Bombyx mori: one gene and its partner. The protein of the gene in region 1 purifies or fractionates together with the protein of each later gene. This does not show direct contact. Links are inferred from orthologs where the notes say so. Each region holds a gene or a part of one and is shown on either strand. Other genes may lie near its edges.

Region 1 (4,560 bases):
ATCCCAAAAATTTTCTATTAATTATTATTATTTATTTTGTTTATTAATTATTTTGGAGGCCTGCATAGAATTGAATGGTTTTAAAAAAGGGAATACTTGTCTTAGAATTCTAATGTAATCACGGGCATGTTGTTTTTATTCATTGCTTAGATGGGTGGACGAGCTCACAGCCCACCTGTTGTTAAGTGGTTACTGGAGCCCATAGACATCTACAGCGTAAATGCGCCACCCACCTCGAGATATAAGTTCTAATGCCTCAAGTATAATTAAAACAGGTTCCCCACCCTTCAAACTGAAATGCATTACTACTTCACGTCTAAAATAGGCAGGGTGGTGGTACCTACCCGTGCGGATTCACAAGAGGTCTTACCACCAGTATGTTTCAATAAATAATAATAATTTTCACCTGTCACAATTTTTTTTAGTTTGTACTCCTTTAAGAGTGATTCATATGTATTTTTAACACAAGCATGAATTCGGCCTACTGACCATGTCAAAATTACTGGCTGGTCAGTCGACTGCAATTTTGATAGTGAATCCAGTTGATTTTTTAGTATTTTTATACCTGAAATGAAACATTTAAATATGACATAGTTCAGTTTTGCATTAGAATTAGATTGATTAGAAAGTTAATGTATATTCCATTCCATTAAATTGTTTAAACTGTAACATTATTAAAAGTAGTCTCACATACTCCAATATTGTAGTTGATTGTTAGACTAACATACATCATTTTACTTACCCTCGATAATATTTTGAAAGCTATCTATAATTTCAACTAAGCCCTCAGTCAATGGCTTCAATAGGTGCGGATAATAATCATCATTATACTCGTGCAGTTTCACTGATGAGATCCCTTTACAAAACTTAGAACCTTTATCTTTTAGTTTGACCCAATCAATTAACAAACTATGAAACGAAGACACATGTGAAAATACAGTCTTTGATAAGCCTGGTTGGTCTTTATTTGGAGTTGTAATCTCTGAAATAATATCATTTATTAAATTACTTACTATTTCAATCGACATGGACAACAGAAATTTTGTTTGTTAAACTTTTTCTTCTTAATCGATGATGGGCAGACAAACTCACAGCCCACTTGATAATAAGTGATATTGATACCCAGCAACGTAACCATAATAGTTTATAAATCAAACTCTATGTAAATAATTACCTCTAGGTACAAAGTTGATAGCCAATTCTTTTATTGGAGTTTTGGACATTACGAACTTATTACTTAAATTTGAAATAAATATCTTTAGCCGAGTCTCTAAGTAGATAATAAAATTGAAGTGTTTTTGTTCTTCTTAATTTTTCAATATTGCAATTGGCTTACAGCCAGCGGTTACAAGACCTTCTAGTCCAGCTATAATATAATTTCTACGTAAAGAGCACGTAGAAATTCTAATCTGATAAATCAGAATTCATATGAAGCTAAATGAGATGAACTTAACTAATGTTAGTCTTTAAATTTGAGTGACATTATATGAAACTAGGATGTTTTATGATGCGTAAGCCGGATCGCACAAGAGGTGGGAAAAAGAAGATAGTCTGTGACACGGGACCTTTTTACCGCCGGGAGTCCGGGACTTTTTGGCGGGAACGCGAGGAGTGAAGTTGTGTGATTTGTTTTATTTTGTCGATTTAGTATTTCTTCAGGTTTAAATGTGTAATAACGGTGATTTATTAACTGTTTAATATCTGTGAAAGTTCACAAATGTGGGAAAATGCAACAAAGCCGCTGAACATAACTTCCCCGGAATCCTCCAAAAAGTCCACTGAAAAAAGGACATGGACCATACATTGCACGCCCCACTAAACGAACATCATCATCAGCTTATCTATTATTTATATTTATCGATTAAATATGTTAATATATTTTGCTAGTTTTTTGTAATACATTGTTTTCTTTAAGAAGATTTAATATGAATTATTTAAAATATAAATATATTTTACCCATGGCAGCTCCTTCAATATTATCAATGTAGCTTAATCATGCTTAAGTATTTCTTTTTATTTATGCTTTTGATTATCCCACCATTAAAATACCCTTAAATTTTATAATAAGTATGTAAAAATGAAATGTTTTTTTCTATAGATATTTTATTAATGTCCTTGAGGGCACGAGTAGCTGGGCCGAAAATGGCCCATGTCCTTTCATTAAATGACCACCATTTTACTGAGATTATATTTCATCCCATATCATCTCATCTCACTATATTTAATTTCATCTTACTTGATTATTGTCTCAAATTAATCATCTTCATTGCATTTCACTTCTTTCCATTATATAATTTTTCATAAAATTAAGAATATGAATTAAAATAAGACATGACCTAAAGGTCTTAGTTGAGCTGGACATAAAATACCCAAAAAAATTTTTTTTACCGCTGAATATTTAAAGGACGAAAAAAAAAAATGGTATAACTTAGAACTGTATAAGCCGCTGCAACAATAAAACTCCTATTGTTTCAAGTGTGGTGTTAATTACATAAAACACGATTTTCCCGCGAAATAAAGAAGGGACTTTATACGGACTCCCTCAATGGGATGAAATAAAATCGTCTCAGTAAAACAAGGATTATTAACTGAGAGTTCAGTGGACGTGACTAATGGATGCTCTGGATGAAATTTAATGAAACTAAATGGAATGAAACGTGTTAAGATGAAATAAATTAAAGATGTTCCAGTAAAATAGTGGGAATTTATTGACACTTAAGTATACTATCGAAGTAGTAGGTAGGTAGACTATCGAAGAACGTAAGATGTGCCGGGGCCACGGTAGTCAAAGTTGATCAGGTGATAATTGTGTAAGTGTGAAGGCTGGAATAGTTTCGACACAGGTAATTATTTTCATTTGAGAAGTAAGAATGGAAAATTTATCTAGTGGGTATTATTTTTCAATCATGCAACGTGGTGTTAAAATTTACATAAGCCAACTACTGTTCGCGATTTTGGAGCAATCTTTTTTCCGTGATAGTTCCCATTACAGAATCCTTTGCTAAATCGACTAATCTCCCTTTGCCTGTCCAAACTAGGGATGGTCTGTAACAGGTGAAATTAGAGACCTGTTCCACCTGTTCCTGTTCCAGCGAAAGAACAGTTCCAGTAGCCTGTTCCAATATAACAGCGTTTTGTTTTGCAACAGGTTTAATAATGTTTTAAATAGAATATGTCCACTTATAGGAACAGTTATAACATATGAAATGGTTTTAATACATTTTTTTAAATGAAAACAATCCTTCATGCTTTCTCAGGCTTAGGACTGACAACTGAATTTATTAATATTAATGATATGTGAAGCTAGTTTTGCCAAAATGTACTTAATACTTTAAATACTAACTAATATTGGCGAGGACTGCTCTCCCTCCGCGCCTCCGGTTTTTTATATACACTCTAGGGGTAGGGCAGACAAGACCAGGTGGAAAGTGATGTGCTCTGATTCGGTTTTCGATATTTTACGAATATTTTTGCAGTTTTATATCCAAAACACGAGCAATTTTACTGTTTTATATTTAAATCTTGTTTAAAAAGTTAATTTATTACAGAGACAGATTTTTTAGATGAGTGGACGAGCTCACAGCCCACCTGGTGTTAAGTGGTTACTGGAGCCCATAGACATCTACAACGTAAATGCGCCACCCATCTTGAGATATAAGTTCTAAGGTCTCAATTATAGTTACAACGGCTGCCCCACCCTTCAAACCGAAACGCATTACTGCTTCACGGCAGAAATAGGCAGGGTGGTGGTACCTACCCGTGCGGACTCACAAGAGGTCCTACCACCAGTAATTACGCAAATTATAATTTTGCGGGTTTCATTTTTATTACACGATGTTATTCCTTCACCGTGGAAATCAATCGTGAACATTTGTTGAGTACGTATTTCATTAGAAAAATTGGTACCCGCCTGCGGGATTCGAACACCGATGCATCGCTCAACACGAATGCACCGGACGTCTTATCCGTTAGGCCACGACGACTACGGGATTTTCCCGGGGATGAAATCCCGTCTTAACATTAGTACGGGTACCGCCTAAGGCGAGACTTTCGGCGCGCATCGCGGTACCGTAAGTTTCGTGTAGTCGGTGTGGTGGAGCTCGATGGGGTTTAGTCGGTAGTCGTTCTGCGGGGTAAGTGCTTCGCGCGCCTTTTTCAAGGCGTAGTCTCCTATGAGAAATTGGGGCAGGTGAAGGACCTCGGCCCTTCTCTTCTCCCCTTCTTCCTCTCAGGAGGCCAGGCCAGGAGGCGCCGGAGTCCGACATAACCCGGTCCGTTACCCCCCTCGACCGGGTAGCGTATTTCCATTTCCGTGTTCATTAGGAGGCAGTACTGCCTTGAAACACGCACGGGTTTGTCGCGCTAGCTTCCTTTACAAAATCGTGTTCAATTCAAGGCACGTGTCCTCAAATCGCGCACGGGTTTGCAACGCCAACTGCCCTTCTAAACACGTGTTCAATTCAGGGTACGCGTCCTCCAATCGCGCACGGGTTTGCAAGTATGCGCCTTGATTAAGCTCCACAAATCCGTGTTTGTTCGAAGGCACTTTTGTGTTTAATG
Region 2 (4,615 bases), on another chromosome or scaffold:
GGAAGAAAATATATTAATTGTTTTATTGTACAATAAGTGATCGTATGAACAGGTTTTCTACGTGTTGTCTGTGAGGCCTCAGGTGATTCAAGGGTTGCTCTCATTCACAAACGAACTCGATTCATAGTTAAGAAAGTGTGCTCATAAGCTTTGGTAATTGAGCTTGCTTGCTTAGGTACAAAGATAATGTGGTCATACAGTCCCGTTTAAAGAGTGAGACCATACCGCTAACTTCATAACACGGAAGTAGCTCGTGAGCTCTATTAGTCATCTATAGCAATTAAGAAGACCTATTAGTAACTGGCTTCAGCAGTAAGTACCCTACCCAGTTTTATGAGGCAATGGAATGTGTTCGTACCAAGAGTTACTACCTGAAAGTTCAAGTACGACCAATGACCGACGTGAACAATTTTAACAAACAGTTATTATTCTTGTATACCAATCACAGCGGAATATGGTCAGGTTTGACTAGATATTAATAAATATAAAAATTTACCTAAGGAATAACAAGAACTTACTCTGATGTATCCTGTGTAGCACTCGGGTTGTCATCATCAGATTCTTCTTCTTCTATTTCTGTAATTTGAGATTATTAATTCCATGGTTAATTGCACAATGGATCAATTTATAAGATATATTCATATTGGCTGACACAATGCTAATTGTTAATTGGCAATCACAGTGAAGCAGTTGCGTTTAGTGATAGATGGGACAATGATTATACAATACATAAGAGACAGTCTATGGTTTTCTGAAAGCACTTTACACATCATTGACCAGCAATATTACCTAAAAATTTACATCATGTCACCGGCTATTATTTCTTAATTGGATGTGGAAGTAATAAAATGTAAGCATTAGTAATTTTTTTATATACAGCAGTAGTCAACAATGTGTTGACCACATGAACAATGAAATTGATCTAATTGAGATTGTCTGGCCTATTTCACCTACGTTGTTTTTGTGCTTACCATTGCACCAGTCAGGTCTTGCAGGAGCCATTGGAGTATCTTCAACATCTCCATATAGTTTGAACAATTCAGTGAGGTAATCTTGCTTGTATATTCCTGGAGGTCTGCAAATCAAACAAAGCCAAATTTTTTTAGCCCAAGCAAACAATAACCTGAATACCACTACTTTGACACTGACTTGAAAATTAAATACGATTACATTGATACAAGTTGTGTGAACTTTAAGCTGTATTTCTTTTTACTATCATTTTAAGCAGACATGCACACGGGCTTCTCAATGGCCATGATATTTTTTTTATATTTTTACTTGAAAACAAAGAGATTTAAACATAAATACAGCACAGCAAACTGAATAATCCAGGGGCAGGTACTTAGCAGTAACAGCAGTGGTGTTTGTGGGCTTTTCTAACCACTTAACACCTAGTGGGTCATATGCTCATTCACAGGCTACTCAATCAAAAAAAACATAGTTCTTATTTTCTCAATTTAGAGCCAAAGGAAATGCAAGCTTATTCCTATTAATTTTGTGATGTAATTTGAGAATGGTTAATGAAAATTTACACACATTAATTTTATTTTCAAAACACATACATTTCATTGAAAGCAAGACCATAAAATATATTTACCTTTTTGTATTAAACTCTTTTAAGGCAGCTTCAATACTACAGTCCATTTCTTGAACCATGAAAGACACAATCAAGAAACCGGTTCTGTTAAATCCATGTGTGCAGTGAACAGCTATGAGCTCAAGAGGTTTTTTCTTCATAAAGTTCTTGACAGTGTGTATGAAGACCCTGAATCCAATAAGGCGTTTTAACTTCATTGTCTGGTTTCAAACACTAACAAAATAAGACTAATTTTTATTAATCAACACACTGTATTCCTCTTTTCTAACACAAGTACCAATTACATGAAGCATGGCATTAAACCAGTAACAGGGATATTTTTTTTAAATCTATTTTTTTGCATTTAGTTATTTTGATTCTTTAAACATCACATCATAACACCATTATATGTCAATGATTATATGAAACACAACAAACAAACTTGTAAATATATTTTTCACTTTGTAATTCACATCCAATCTGTTAACCAAATGTCTATAATTTTTCATAATGAATACTTATTGTATTTATTATTCACATTGACTGAAATGTATAATTTATAATTATTGTATATTATAAATATTATAACACTGCATCAAACCTTATTTGGTCTTCACTCGGTGCCTCTCCGTGACCTTTGCATTGTATTTTCATATATTTACAGTCCATTTCCTCTATCTCCCCTTTATCGTAAAATCTGCTTGTATTTGTGAGATCAATCCATAAACCTATTTTTTTCTAAAAGAAAACAATTTTTTTTTCTAGACGATATGAAAAATGTTACCGCATGCTCAAAAGTTGCGTGTACAAAATTGTAAATGAATTTTATGAGATACAATGACTCGTATATATTCGTATATTTTTGAGTCTCAAATTTAATTTATGATATTATTGTTATTTTTATGCAAATATAAAATTAACTAGTCTTAATTGTTATATTAACTTGAGTAATCTCTTTTTACCTTAATACTTTTAGAGAAGTCGAAAATCATTTTAGGCGTAAAACGACACTTTTCGGGCACTTTTTCATTGAATTTTGTGCCCAATGGTGTTTTAAAGGCTAAAAACGATTGGGCTATTAAAGATGTACACTTTCTCGGGCAATTCAACCACCTACTGGGCAGTGGACCTGGATCACTTTTCGACATTTTCAGCAGAGCTACAAGCCTAGTTAAATAATACGATTCAACTTATACACAATCCAAAAGAATACAAAAATGTGTCTCTGGCGTTTTGCTTTTGAGTTATCTTCACAAACTATAATAACAGTGTATCGTCCTAGTAGTCAAATCTCAGAAATTTTTCTTGAATTTTAATTCAATAAACAAATATCTGTAGTACTCTCGTGTTCTTTAGCTTAATGTTTTTTTTATTAAATGTATGTTAATCTATGTTGTCGACAACCTTAAATCCTGTGTCAGTCTATGATTCTGTGCTGTTGACAGTGACAAGACAAGCACAGGCTAGCAAGAAAAAAGCATTAAAACCATAGACCTAGGTTTCCTACTTCAGTGATTAAAACCTATGATACTACGGAGGGTAGGGCTCACTGAATTTGGCCTCCTTTTTTTTATTTTCGGATTGTTTTTATTTTTAATTATTTGTTCGTCGTTTGTAAAAATTGTTTGTTCGTCTTTTATTAATTTATAATTAATTAAACAAATGATCACCCTTAAGTGGGCCCCTCTTACTAGATATCTTTATTTTTATCTTTAACAAATAATTAAATATAAAAAAAATCGGAAAAAAAATGGGTGCCAAATTCATTGAGCTGGAGGGTAGAGGTAAGGAGAACCGTCTCATATCCATATGGGAGAACTTTCAAAAAAGTGTCCCACTTTCACCACTAAATAACAGTTCAAAAATCCTCGAGAATGGCGCTAGCATAGGCACAGGGTATGATATGAATTGAGCAGTTGTTAACTCATTGAAGTATGCCGAGTTTGAAAATTTAATATATTTAATGACTAGAGTAATTAGTGACAGTGTAATATACAAGACCTCACATGTTTACGTAGTCCAAACTAATTTCAATAATATAACTTAACAATTTTACTGTCGATTACTGTTACTTCGATTGCATTTTCTTAGCAGCTTTAAATAAAATACTTTTTGTGATTTTGTGTTGCTTACAGTTCTTTCACCCTTTCTTATTTCTCTATCTTATTCTAATAACTTTTAGCGCCTTTTTTTAAATTTACCTCGGTGCTAATGTAGTGCCACCCTTATCTAACAGATTTTAACGAATACTTTTTCACATAGAGACGGTTCTACTTACCTCTACCCTCCATATTTTTTTTAATGAAATACGTACTCAACAAATGTTCATGATTGACTTCCACGGTGAAGGAATAACATCGTGTAATAAAAATCAAACCCGCAAAATTATAATTTGCGTAATCACTGGTGGTAGGACCTCTTGGGAGTCCGCGCGGGTAGGTACCACCGCCCTGCCTATTTCTGCCGTGAAGCAGTAATGCGTTTCGGTTTGAAGGGTGGGGCAGCCGTTGTAACTATACTGAGACCTTACAACTTATATCTCAAGGTGGGTGGCGCATTTACGTTGTAGATGTCTATGGGCTCCAGTAACCACTTAATATCAGGTGGGCTGTGAGCTCGTCCACCCATCTAAGCAATAAAAAAAAATATATATATAATATGATTCATAATAGGACTTGTAATTAGTAATTACTTAGTATTAATAATTAAATAAGTAATTAATTACATTCGCGCACTCAATGATACACACATTTTTTTTTATGAGAGCGATGGGTCCGGTAGAGATATATTATATTGAATCTGGACGAGACTCATGAATCAGAGTCCTTAAAGTAGGTTTACTTGTGGCACAATGGCGATGGAGAATTCACTAACTAGAAAATATAATTATAAAAAAAATAATATAAATACAACTTCGTTCTTCGTGTTCCCGCCAAAAACTTCAACCACAGACTACTGAGAGCCCAGGTAGCATAGCTATTTTTTTTTATTTTTTTTCTCCCATTTCTTGGCCTGCACGGTTTGTGCGTCAGCCACGCA

What was found.
Region 2: the proteins of DNA-directed RNA polymerase II subunit Rpb4 (region 1) and mRNA-capping enzyme purify together in Homo sapiens (affinity purification with mass spectrometry; 3 studies listed by BioGRID and IntAct, with this or other methods). This does not show direct contact. The link is inferred for Bombyx mori from reciprocal best matches to the Homo sapiens genes POLR2D and RNGTT.

Annotation. Positions count from the first base shown.
Region 1 is NC_085114.1:9,607,184-9,611,743, forward strand, and holds the start of DNA-directed RNA polymerase II subunit Rpb4, read left to right. Parts: upstream 1-1,559; 5' UTR 1,560-1,669; exon of another isoform or gene 1,670-1,678; intron 1,679-2,476; 5' UTR 2,477-2,843; intron 2,844-4,560. Other genes in the region: uncharacterized protein LOC119628842, read right to left, coding at 407-565, 743-982, 1,175-1,223. UniProt on the Homo sapiens protein: Core component of RNA polymerase II (Pol II), a DNA-dependent RNA polymerase which synthesizes mRNA precursors and many functional non-coding RNAs using the four ribonucleoside triphosphates as substrates.
Region 2 is NC_085110.1:3,886,084-3,890,698, forward strand, and holds the start of mRNA-capping enzyme, read right to left. Parts: upstream 3,032-4,615; 5' UTR 2,725-3,031; coding exon 2,539-2,724; intron 2,315-2,538; coding exon 2,178-2,314; intron 1,766-2,177; coding exon 1,598-1,765; intron 1,076-1,597; coding exon 972-1,075; intron 577-971; coding exon 519-576; intron 1-518.